Mytilus edulis: one gene and its partner. The protein of the gene in region 2 purifies or fractionates together with the protein of the main gene of each other region. This does not show direct contact. Links are inferred from orthologs where the notes say so. Each region holds a gene or a part of one and is shown on either strand. Other genes may lie near its edges.

Region 1 (6,960 bases), about 35 Mb from region 2:
ATTTATTTACAAAACAGTGAATGAAAAACAAATATGAAATACAGCAACAACGAACGATCGATGCGCTCCCCTGAGTTTGGTCAAGCACAAACATGCAGGACGTGACGGGGTTGAACTAGTTTGTTTGCGAAAAACCCTCATCTTAATCTGAGACAGTGGTGTAACATAAAAAGCTTAAGAACCAAATATAAAAATCAGTGGAAAAGTAGTTCAGTGGTTGTTGTTAGTCCGTGTCTGTCATATTTGTTTTTCGTAAATTGTTTTGTTATGAATTAGGCGATTAGTTTTTTAAATTGTTTCAATTTTTTCTCATGTCAGAAGCAAATATGTAGAAAAACCGAAAAATCGTTTATTTAAATGCAAAAACTTCAATAACGAGTCGACTTCCTATTTTTGTCATGTCTTATTTGTAAATCATGGCTTACTGAACAATATATAGCATCTAAGTACCTATCTATCTGTTATAGTTTTTGAGATAATAGGCAACAATGCAAAAATATTGGAAAAATCTTCATTTATGGGCCGAATAACTTCAGTATAGGTTGTCAATGAAGATCTCGATCATTAAATCTCGAATTGTGTATAATGGTGAAATGTCAGAATACTTTTCATGCAATATCGGTGTAAGACAGGGTGAAAATATGTCTCCTTTTTTATTTTCATTGTATTTGAACGATCTTCAACAGTTTATTGAAGAAAAAAATGTATGTGGTTTAAATTGTATTACTGATGAAATAGAGAAGAGTTTGATATCTACTTAAAACTGTTTGTGTTATTGTACGCAGATGATACAGTGTTATTTTCGGATAATGCATCCGATCTACAGTTGCAATTAGATATATTCTTTGAATATTGCAGTACCTGGAAACTAAACTTGTCAGTGAAATCACAATATGATCTTTTTGATAAAATTGTTAAGCCAATTCTCCTGTATGGGTGTGAGATTTGGGGTTTCAGTAATACTGATATTATAGAAAAAGTGCACTTAAAATTTTGTAAACTATTATTAAACCTTAAGAAGTCGACACCGAATTTTATGATTTATGGTGAACTTGGTATTTATCCCATGTCTTTATATATACAGCTGCGTATGGTTAATTTTTGGTCAAAAATGGTAAATGGGGATGATAACAGGATTGCTAAAATACTATACAAATATATGTTCTTGAAAAGTTCTGACAACCAATTTAGGTCAGATTGGTTGAAATACGTTAAAGATATATTAGATAAATGTGGATACAGCAATATATGGTTGTCACAAGGAAATTTTAATCCAAAGTGGTTGGGTATTAGTTTAAAACAAAAGTTATCTGATCAGTTTCAACAGAAATGGAGAGCTGATATTGACTGTTCGTCAAAAGGTTTGGCCTACAAATTGTATAAACAAAATTTTGAATTTGAGGAATATCTGAATATTTTAAGTGATAAAGATAGAATAACATATTGTAGATTTCGAACGGGTAACCATAAGTTACCAATCGAAACTGGTAGATGGAATAAGATTGAGCGAAACCTTAGATATTGTAACTTATGTTATTGTAACGAGATTGGCGATGAATTTCATTACACTTTGCAGTGTAGTTCTTTGGCAAATTTTCGATCCCAATATTTGGATACTTTTTTCTTGCACAGATGTAACATACTAAAATTTGAAAAACTATTTCAGTTAAAAATTAAAAATAAGTTGAAAAAGCTGTGCAAATTTATCAGGGTTATAACTTTTCAAGTGAGTCTTCCTGGTTAATCACCACTCTTCGCTACTATACTGTTTATTTTATATGATTTGATATTTTCATCTCATCTTGTCATGTGTGTTTGTGTTATGTTATATAACTTTTGATGAACTTCTTTGTACCATTGTAATTTTATGGTGTTTGAGAAATAAATAATCTTGAATCTTGAATCTTCAGTTGACTTATTTGTAGAATTGTCATCATCTTCGTTTTTGACGTCTAATGTTTTTGTCTATCTATTACGGTTTTCGAGATAAAAGACAAAAAAAAATATGATAAGTCCTTTGGATAAGAGCAATGAGTTCTATAAAAGTCTGTATACAGTGGACATCATGTAAATCTCAACATTCCCAACAAATTTGCTCCTGTCACATTTTTTTCAGACTATGGCGGCTTTGAAAAAGAAGTCATTGTAGTGGATGGAATAATTTTCGATGATAACGCGGTTCTGTTGAAAAGTCGTCGAATATTAAAAATTCGGAGAAACTGAATCCTTTAGATAAAATTTGGTCCAAAGGTAATTGACATCATAAAGGACACGAATGTAAACCAAAATCACGTGTATTCAATGTCTGTTAAAATGAAGCATGGTTAAAGAATTGAAATTGTCGAATTGATACCCCTTTTAGTATATTGTTTGAATTGTTGTAAATTTGTAATGTAAGCGTGTTTTTTTTAGCTTTCTATGCGATAAAGTCGGGTTTTTGCTCATTTTGAAGGCCCCACGATGACCCCTCAACCTGATTAAAATTCAGATCTATCAACAGTCGCACCCTCGGTTCGTATTATGAAAGGAAAAGGCAATCAGAGATCTATATTTTAATTAGACTGAGCTTTTAATTACTTGTTTGTAATGAAAAACTAAGAATGTTATGAATTTTAAAGTGAGAACAGCATATTATCAAAATATTATATCAATTAAATTTTATTTATCAAAATACAACCCAAAAAGTCTGAATACCTGTGAAATAAAACAAATCATAACGTAACGTCGTTTTAGTCGTATGTTTCGGGTCTCAATTTTTACAAAACTGTTTTAACATGTTATCTTAGATTTTTCAATGATTGTATATTAGGGGACGACCATTTTATATTCGGGGGGGGGGGGGGGGGGGATCAGGAGGATTTTGAAAATAAATAACTCAGCCTTCATAATCACAAAAATAAATGGTTTGTTCTGTGGTAGTTTGAAAATAAATTACCTGACTTGCAATGTATTGAAAATAAATAACTCAGCAGGTCTAATCGAAAGTATGAGATGGCACCAGATTCTTTATAAATTCATCTTTTCCCCCCAAAAAAATCGGGGAAACACTTCCTAATCTTTTTAATAATAAAAGTATAAATATTATTTAAATATACTTGAAATGTCTGAAAATTGGTTTCATTTAACTTGAAGAATATATTGTCTCAGGAAACCTAACCTCACTTTTATTATAACAGGGCCGTAACTACATTGAGGCAAATGCCTCATGTAGGAAATTTCAAAACTAAACGCTTGTCTCCATATCAAATTGTGTTCAGGGCGAGTGCCTTGCAAGAAGCAAGTTCTGTTTTCCCTCAGACGTAGCCCTGATTTTTCGGATCAATGTTTCTTATTTATTTGTCTTTCGTTCATTGATTGCCCTTCTGTATTCTGTTAGTGTTGCGTTCCTTTTGTAATCTAGTAATCTTGTTATGAACTTGATCGTGAGTTTAAAAAAATCGAATATCAAATGGCCGTCCCCTTAGACTTAAAAAGACCATTGCCAAATTAATGGACAGTGGAAGATAGTTGCCACCTTCTCATTTGCAAGCATACCACTACATAAGTTCCTTATTTTATACTAATGTTGAAAGGTTACTGAGAATAGAAATTTATGAGATTTTCAAATATATTTATGAGTATGATCAGAGACATATAATATGTCTCTGGTATGATATATAGTACTTATCATCGGACTGTTGGTGTTTTGGTTTTTTTAACGTCTACGCACTTCTGTCTTGTCCGCTGTCTCTGTTACTTTTTATATCCAATACAGACGGATCAACAGATTTCTGACAGTAAATTCGTTTTTTAATCTATTGAGACATGAATTTACAATATACCTCATAAAGATAATTTACCTGACAGGAATAATAAAATCATAGACGTAACTCGATATATTCTCAAAATAATCATACTTTTTATCCAGAATTTAGGGTACAATACCGGGATTAGGACGACTTCTTCTAAACAGTCCTCGATAGGTGGCGCTCTATCCGCCTACGTGTTGACGCCATGAATGTGTAGTTGTTGAAATATAATTTGCTTAGACGTTCATTGTAGACAAAAAATAAATAGACAGTACAATGTCTGCCCAAGAACAAATGAGGGCGATGTTGGATGAGCTGATGGGCACAGCAAGAGATGGTATGTTGAAGACTCTAAGGACAAAATCATGCATGAAAACCAGGAAGCAAACAGGATTTGAAAAGCCTTCCGACCCAAGCCATTAAAATTTATTTTCTAAATGTTCATATCATGGTTGTCGGAATACAAAATGTTCAATTTGAGAATTTTAAGAAAACAAGAATTTGTTGCACTGTTTTCGTTTATGAACTTGTGTTTGCAAAAAATCTTGTTTTGCCTTTTGGCGTCCTTGACCTCTTTAATAAGGGGAGATAACTAAAACTTGTTTGAGAAATTTGTATATTGTTATCTTTGTCACATTTTAATTTTTCGGGATAGTAATGATTTTTTAAATGATGAGAAATTAAATTTCAACTTATGTTTGAAGTAAAGAAATTTAATTAATACTTATATATTATAAGTTTGGCTGTCAGATGAATCAAATATGAAATATTATTAAAGTCGGTCTATCTATGATTATGAATTGAAATGTAGTTTGTACCTCTCACTTTATATATGTAGAGTTGTATACATTTCTATGAGTGGTTTGGTATATGTTTTTATTCAAATGCTTTAGTTGTCTGCTTTACAGTAACATTTGTTTTCAGGATTTTTTTAATGTGTAACTGTTTTATACATATTTTTTATTACTTTAAAAGCACGCTAAATATGTATTTACAAATGTATCTAACATAAATATATTTTTTAATTGAGTGATAAGGTAAAGTAAGAGATTTTCAGACTGGAATTTATCTTGTAGTTTGAGATAAAACAGTCATAATTAATAAAAGTTATCAAATATTGCATTTGTTCTCATTTTACATGTTTAAAGAAAATATATTTTGTTTCAAATATTTGCATGTATTTCAAATATTTAAATGGTATGACTCTAATATTTTATGCAAACAGTTACACATTGAAATACAATAAATTCATGGGTTTTAATAATTTGCATCCCTATTTTTCAAGGGACCCCTTTCATATGGTCAGGTGTATTGCAGTCAAATTTGCCAAGGGTTTTAAGGTGATGAAGTCCAAGCCGTGAGTTGAAATTAAATAGCTTTCATTGCAGAGTACTATTTCTATTGTAACTTTGTCTATTTCATGTATTAATAAATTTTCATTCTCATAAATAGCATAAATCAAGTCAATTTATCAAAAGGTAAAATATGTTAGCAGGTAATGTTAGAAAGGTAAATTTATTAACAGGTAATTTTAGGGTAAATTTATAACAGGTAACTTTATAATGTTTAATATGTAAACTTTAACTTTTATTAAGCCAATATTGCATACTGAAATGTATTTGATAATTTCTACACTTAATTAATGAGCATGTTGGCAGCTTTGAGGAATCTTTACTGTTGCAGGTGAGAGGAAAAGGTGTAAAACTAAGAAAAAAGCATGCCACTGACAGATGATAAAAGGATCGCAGTGTGTATAATATGTAAAGTACAAACAATCTAATGTTTGAAAATACTGTCAAAAGATTTGGTTTATGTTAATGTTTCAAGATTATGACCAGAAGTTGTGATCAAACATGCTTTTAGAACAGTAAAAATGATAATAGGACAGAGTTTACCCTTTGTTTCTAAAACTTGATTTTGAAAAATTTCTGTGTTCATAAATTTGTCAAAAAGGAAAAATTTGAATGATAAGTACAAATTTAACTTGGAGAAACATAAGGAACAACTAAACTCTGCTACTTTGAAAACTTAATTACTTTGATTAAATGTATAGTTTACTTTAATATTCTGATGTGGTATTGTAAAAAACACATGAATCCTTTGTACAACATTTTTGTACAATATATGAATAAGTTTTTTTAATCGAGAACAAGGATATTGGATGTCACCAGTAAAACTGTAAGTACTTGTATGGTTCATAAATGTTTTTAAATAAATAAATCTTAACATATCAATTATTTTCAATTTATTGCAAGAGCAGATATGTTGTGTGTATTTTTAAAAGCCAAATCTTTTGACAGAAATATAGATAAAAGTACATGTCGCAATCTATGATATTCTAAATTGTTTTCTATATTGAAGTACTGCAAAATTTGGTAACAAAAAAAACATTAGAACTAATAGTTTGCAACTTGTAATGCTTAATTATCATAGTAATGTATAACAGTTGGCATAATGATATTTTTAGACACAACACAAGGAACTAATGTTTTGGCTTCTGAAATGTAAAAAGAATGTGTACACTTAATGTACATAATGGCACCTCTTTTCTGAAAACCAGTCAATTTGGAAAACAAAGATTTGATTCCTTTACAAAGATTTTTGTTATTTGTAAAATACAAAAGATTTCATTCAGTCATTATGCGAACTGATTATAAAATGGGCAAAATATCAAGGTGTAAAATTTGTTGAATTTTCTAAGTTTCTAACATGTTTGTCGAATCATATAATTTCTAGGAGATCGATCCAGATACAAAGTGAAGTTTGACGATCCTCGGGTATGTAAGAGTTTCCTGCTAAGCTGCTGTCCACACGATATTCTTTCTAGCACGGTAAGTGATTGTATATAATGGAAAAACATGACATGGAAATTGGTACGTACATCCCACATAAAGTTTGATAGGGTTTCCTTAGCCATGTTAGCTACATGTAGAACACATTTTTTTTTTATTTGGAAAAACATGTTTACAATGTTTTTTCAATTGGTTTTGACAATTGATAAATGTATATACAATTTTATTGAGGCAATGTATCATCCCTATTTTCCCTATTAAAAGAGCAAGTAAATGTGTGGTTAATTAGTAAATACTGATTGGAATAATTACAAAAGAGGTGCAAATTTTCAGTAAGAAGATATCAGAGGAACCAAAGTACATGCAGACATCTTTGAGAT
Region 2 (6,848 bases):
ACATGATGTTTAATGATCTATTCCATGCGTCTTCGTCTGTCATCTTTCAACATAAATATTTGTTAAAATCGAACCATAAACGCATCATGAAATTTCATATCGCACATGCAAAAAAGAAGCCATAGATATTACTGAAAAACGATCTTTTAATATGAAAATATTAAATATGATACATAAAAATTGACAAGAAATTGATGATTTTTGCCGTGAACTATAGGTTGATTTACACAAAAACAGTGATATACGGACAGTGTAAGAAAGTTGTAACAAATTGTTAAGACTGATTGAAAAACGATCTATTATATGAAATATACATAAAAAAATCGATTGAAAAACGATCTATTATATGAAATATACATAAAAAAGTGAAGATTTTTGCAGTGCAGTGGGTTGATTTACACAAATACAGTGATTTACGGACATACACACTATAAAAAAGTTGGAACACATTGTTAAGTCTGATTAATAATAAAATAAATCAGTTGGTACGAATTGACAATTGACTTGGTACGAATTGTCCAAATCTGGAACGAACTGGTTTGGAACGAATCGGACTTGGAACGAATTGACTAGCATTCACCTATCTACGCACAAATATAAAGTATGAAAAGTCCATTCTAAAATAAACGCATCATCAAAGATCCCAAAGGACATAATCATTTGACATGATAATATTACCAATAATTCGATATTATAAGCAAACGATATTTTTTTTTTAAAATGGTGTGAGAAAAAAAAATACATATTTATAACGTACAAATGTATGTTAAAACATGGACAGTCTATACATAGTGATACTCTTTCAGTTTGAGTAGATCATAAAATTTCAACTAAAATGTCACCAAGGATATTCACGGAGCTCGAAAAGATTTTTATTTATGATTGCTTTGATAAATTGGATAATACCAAGGACGTATAACTAACTATATATAACTAATGCATCATCTAGCCATTGCATCTGCCCATTGCCTAGTTTTATCTCAGGCCTACTGGGTGAACTCGAATAGTCAAACCCCATTGAAAGACAGTTACATACAGCTTGGCAATGCAACATGGGCAATGCCTAGAAAGAATTAATTATAGCTAGAACATTTGTTAATTTACCAGTATTTATACATAAAATTACTGATCTGTTTTTTTTTCATTTTCTAGTCCTTCTGAGTAAGTTTACTTCCTAACTATTAGTAAGTTCTACTAAAATGGCAAGTTATCCCATGAACAGTAAGATTACCATCAATAAATTGGGAATGGTACTATCTTGAATTTTACAAAATGTGTCAGAAAAGCACAACAGGATGTTCATATTTTTTCTACACTTTACAGCGTTTATTTTTTACTTTTTTTACTTTTTTTTTTTTTTTTTTTATTAAAAACTCATCTCAGACAGGGACTTTCTATACAGGGACTTTAATATAGAAAGTCCCTGTGTCAGACTACATGTAATATCATACACATTGCGTAATATTACTGTTACTCTCAGATTTTATTGACCAGTCTATATCTTTACTTGGGCTCCAAGGACTCCTCCAAGTGCACGTGATCGGAAGTGTTTTGATTGAAAATGAGACATTTTTGCACCAAAGAACAAAGGACTGTCACAAAACCCGAATTCAACAATCGGCATAAACTGTATCAGCTTATATAATTGTAAAAATGACTAAACCAAAGCGCTGTTAATTCAGTTCATCTTACAAGTTCATAATTTTGGACCAACAGCATTAAAATACCAGAAAATAAACATGGCTAAGAATAAAAAGACAAACAGACAAATAATAGTACAGAACTTAGAAAACTAAAGATTAAACAACACGAACCCCATCAAAAACTGGGGGTGATCTCAGGTGCTCCGGAAGGGTACGCAGATCCTGCTCCTCATCTGGCACCCGTCATGGTTTTTTTTTATTTTATTACAAATGCGGTTAATAGTCTAAATCGGAAGGTCACATTCGTGAAAAGGGGAGGGTTACGACATAAGGAACATATTATCCGATATCATCTGTGGAACGGTTATCCATAACGGTCAACCGACTCGTAATGGCGTCCGTAAAATTTACGAAGGGATGATTTCAAATTCACCATTTAGAACTCTTGGTTTATTAGCTTCAATGTGAGCAGCAATCATCTATCAAGGAAATCATGATAGGAAATACACATGCCAAGAAATCCTCGCTAAAAATTCCGGTCGACCTCCTACGGCAGTCATTAGTAGCTAAAGATTTTATTTCATTCAAGAAATTAATTTATGACCTTCATGTACTACGTGTCGCTTAGAACACGGCCAAATACGAAACGGTCAATATTAATCATCCATGTAATTTGCTCTATGAGTTCTTTGCAGAATTTCAACGGAGGCAATTTCTTGGCATGGGAGAAAGGAAGAAAGACTATTCACAATTTGTCTCACATTTGTTTTTCTCTTTTTTAATTAAATAAAAAAAATAAACCTTTTAAATATAGAAATCATAAGAGACAAATATTCCCTGTGGACTCCCCCCCCCCCCCCTTTTATTTGTGCTTTCTATTTTCAACCCTCGAATTAAGCTTTCGAATCTAATTAAAACCTTGCTTTCAAACCAATCTATTCATGTACCGGACCGGCAACTTTCTTTATTCAATACGAAAATCTACAGTGTTGTTATACACATGCATTTTGTTTGCTTGGAGTCCCCGCCCGAAAACTGAAAGAAATAGCCTTCAAGAAATTATTTATGACCTTCATGAACGTGTCGCTTAGAACATGGCCATATACCAAATGGTCAATATTAATCATCCATGTAATTTGCTCTATGGGTTGTTTGCAGAATTTCAACGGATGCAATTTCTTGGCATGAGCCCTTGAACATCGTATCAATTGGGCCGCATATATACTCCGTATGCAGGCGCTGCTGAAATGTTGCTACATAGAAATGGAAAGTTCACAATTGGGAAGCTGAAATCATCTCTTTTGTCGTAAAGTTTTATTTTCAACCGACCCTCATTGTCAATTTCTACATACAAGTCAACTCAAGTTATGAGAAAGACTTAACTGTATTTGTAGCATCCTTTATCTCTAGTTCGATGGGATAGATTTGTTTAACATATATTTAAATAAATGTTAAGGGGGTTCGCGGGTCTAAATCATTTATATAGGATTTCTCTATATTTTTCTATAAATGAACTTTATCTTAGAGTTAACAGAAAAATAAAATAAAAAAGTGGGGTCACAGTTCATTTGCGCTCACAATCTGCCTTCGAAAGAAGCATACATTTTTGTTAAGGTGTTTTTTTTCTGTTGAAGTAATAGGAGAAATAAAGGTAATATCGAAAAAAAAAGAAAGAAATTTATTACAGAAATCGCTCAAATTTTACAATAATTTAGTTTAAGTACAGCTTATATGGAAATTATATTAAAAAATATAGGTCACCGATGAGTTAAAAAAGATATTTCAATTTTAAAGCCAAAAAAATGGCATTTTTCCACCAAAGTGAGATAATTTGGAACTTTTTCAATGATGTATACATTTTAAAAGTCATCTGGGGCCAACAAAAATTGTTTGTTTTGAATGATTTTTGTACCATATGATAAGTAACAACTACAAAAGGTAACAAATAAAAATTTGAAATGAAAAACAAATGTTTATTTTTTTTCTGAAATCTTTTATACCCTCGAGCCTCCTTAAATTATTTAACTTCCCAGTCCACAAGTCACTGGATAGTCAAACAAATTATGCAAGGTCGACTTGATTGGTCATGGGCTAAATATTCAGTTGAGGAAAAATATTGTTAGTGATATTTGTTGAGCGTCTGTTTAGTACAATACAATAGGAATGTTCCGAATGATATTCCCGCAATTCTCTGCTCTTGCCTTTCACTTTTCTCATCTGAATCAATTTCATGCAGGCAGGATGGCGCAGACAGATTGTGCCATGTTTGAAGAAGATGAAGTATGCAAGCGATGTGAAGACAAGATCATCTATGGTATTGTTACTGAAAGTTCAGAATACATCAGCAGTGACGAAGAATACGATGATGATGAATTGTTAAGTCGTGGAACAGTTCGAATAATCTGGCACCCAGATGGGAATGAAACTGTCGAAGAAGAGAAAAAGGTGAACGTTCGAAATCACAAGGCCAAAACTGCATAATTTATTAAATATAAATAAGAAGCCTTTGTTATTTAGCTTACAGATTGTCATAAATATTGGACATTTATCCTTTATCTATAGGTGTTTTTCTTCTTCTGAACGGGGATAGTTTCTCTTTGAGTAACTTAATAACTATAGTACAACCTGTGACTTTTCTTAATTATACCTACCCTCTTGTATGGTCAACATCAAATGGTGACCATTTATTGGAGTATTAAATCTTGAGATATTGGCTATTAATTGTGGTCATAAAACATAGGTTGATCATGTGGACAGCTGGTTGATGTTAAATCTAATTATGCAATACAATACAATACAATATTTTATTAACGTCTCACCTTTTACAAAGCAATACATAACACATTGATTAAAACAAATTACACATATGTAAAAGCCATTCATATAGAATTATGAGAGACGATTATTTACACATTAGAAACAAATTTCACACCGCTTAAATTATGTTACCTGTTGTTGAAATCAATCTGGGTTGTAATTATCAGCTTGTATGTTCCATTAAATTAACTGTACAGGTAACTCATGTTTCTTTTAAAATTTACATTTTGAGCTATTGTTGCAATTGTAGAATAAAATGTTGATTTAGTCTTTGTTAATCTATATTGAGTCATAAAAAAATGGGTTAATCTATATTATTTGTTGATTTTTCTGTCTTCATCTTTTTTTCTTTTTTTTTTTTGTATCTCTCACACTAGGGACAATTTTCTAGTGTTAAACATCTTTCTGCTAATCTTCATTTAATACTTCTAATGGCATGTGTAATGTTCATGAACAAATGCAGCAAGTTTCCCAAAAGAAGAATGGTCTTAAACTGATCTTATATTAAAATGATACATGTAGAGAAACTTTAAAGGGTCTCACTAATTAGCGCCAAGAAGCGACAAGAAGCAACAAGAAGACTATTTAGCGACAAGAAAACATTTTTTTTTTATTAAATATAAACATGATAAAAAAATATGCATTTTTTTTTAATATACGGGCAGAAATAAATTGATAATTTTTTATTATATTGATAGATGAAGAAATTTAACATTTGTGAGGAAGAAAGGGATGGTGTAGTTTTTATCAAACATAAAGAATATGTTGAAGATATTAATGTGTGTAACGTAAGGGTACTCAAATTGCACTGAGTACCCAAATTGCACCTATTTAGAAAGAAATAGCAACGGAAATCTTACAAGATTTCCTAGAGACTAAACAATTTGTATTTTTATGATTTGATACTATGCACGTCTTTCAACATAGGTAAACATATTTAGATATACACAAAACGTTCACAGTCTTTATCAACAGATGGACTGTTTACTAAAAAAGCAAAATGTACGAAAACGTCACCATGCGACGTCATCAAAACGTCATCTTTTTAAAATTAGCAAATACAATATATTAAAGTATCCATTTCGTAAAATATGAAGAGTAAGCATGGACTAATATCCAATTGTTCAAAATATTTGAAGAAATTAAACAAAAGCTCGGTTATTAGACTTTTGACGATGTGAATTTAAGCATGGATGCAATTTGGGTACTCCTCATTACAGAATCATGGATAGTTTGGAGGTTGATTCAAACCCATTTTTTTATGACTCAATATGGATTAAAAATCAAATCGGTGTACCTATACAATAAAGAAGGATAGGGCTACAAAATAAACCCAGTATGGAAATTTTTTTCCTGATCATAAAACAACATAGGTGAAAAAACTGTCAAAATAGGTGCAATTTGGGTACCGTCACGTTATCTGTTTTCAATAAAGTAAGAGTATGAATAAACGAATAGAGTGGGCATAATAGAATATAATCTCTTGATTCATTTTCTTAATGCTATGTTATGAGTTTTAATCGCCACAACTTTTATTATTCATGAGCAATTGACAATAGTTACCTAAAACCCTGCTCTTTAAAATCTGGAAGTTTTAAACAGGTTACCACACAGTCATTTTGTACATTAAGTTGTGAAAAGTAGATCTTATTCCTTTTATCATGGTTGTGGATTGATTGAAATAAAATTAAAAAAACACATGGCCCTTTATGAAGTTAAAAGGTTTCTTAGTTCTAATCATTCAGCAAGATCCTTTTAGTTTCAAGCAGGCTAAACATATAGATTTTACAATTGCATTGAGATTGATGAATTATCTCCGACTCCTGACAATTAAATTTTCGAATTTGATTGTCCAGGGTGAAGAAATACTTCATTATAATTTTATTGTCTCCAGACATTTTATAAATGCTAGAACTTAAATTTTAGTTGTACCATTTGCAAATAATAAGCCTTAGGAAAATGAACATTGTTCATGTATATTGAAACATGGCAGCCATTTCTTGTGACACATTAGTCATTAGTATTATTCATTTATTTGAAGTCAACCATATACTCTGAGGAAAATATTTGACTTCATGAATTCTGAAGTTTCTTGTGAATCTACAGGATGATATTTGACATAAATGTATATTTTATATGTAACATTGGTAGACAGATCCTTGATGCCAGGAGATGTTATAAGATTTACATGTACAGTGATATTGTTTGCTTTAAATTTCCGGAGAATAAAGGCTTTTTCCCCTGGAGAAGAATCCCAATTTGAAAAAAAAATGGCTTAAAATTATTCCCAAAAAGACAAATTTTTTCCCAAACAGTGCAGTCTCAGTAGTAATTGTGCATGAATACAAACTGAAAAACACTAATTTTTACATTTTTCATGCCTAAAAT

What was found. Proteins that work in one complex are often made in the same cells at the same time.
Region 1: the proteins of (E3-independent) E2 ubiquitin-conjugating enzyme-like (region 2) and putative RNA-binding protein Luc7-like 1 purify together in Homo sapiens (affinity purification with mass spectrometry; 3 studies listed by BioGRID and IntAct, counting the BioPlex papers as one, with this or other methods). This does not show direct contact. The link is inferred for Mytilus edulis from reciprocal best matches to the Homo sapiens genes UBE2O and LUC7L2.

Annotation. Positions count from the first base shown.
Region 1 is NC_092352.1:56,820,287-56,827,246, reverse strand, and holds the start of putative RNA-binding protein Luc7-like 1, read left to right. Parts: upstream 1-3,943; 5' UTR 3,944-4,064; coding exon 4,065-4,125; intron 4,126-5,073; exon of another isoform or gene 5,074-5,145; intron 5,146-5,471; exon of another isoform or gene 5,472-5,535; intron 5,536-6,524; coding exon 6,525-6,619; intron 6,620-6,960. UniProt on the Homo sapiens protein: May bind to RNA via its Arg/Ser-rich domain.
Region 2 is NC_092352.1:21,626,223-21,633,070, forward strand, and holds the start of (E3-independent) E2 ubiquitin-conjugating enzyme-like, read left to right. Parts: upstream 1-3,821; 5' UTR 3,822-3,884; coding exon 3,885-4,088; intron 4,089-6,848. UniProt on the Homo sapiens protein: E2/E3 hybrid ubiquitin-protein ligase that displays both E2 and E3 ligase activities and mediates monoubiquitination of target proteins. Negatively regulates TRAF6-mediated NF-kappa-B activation independently of its E2 activity.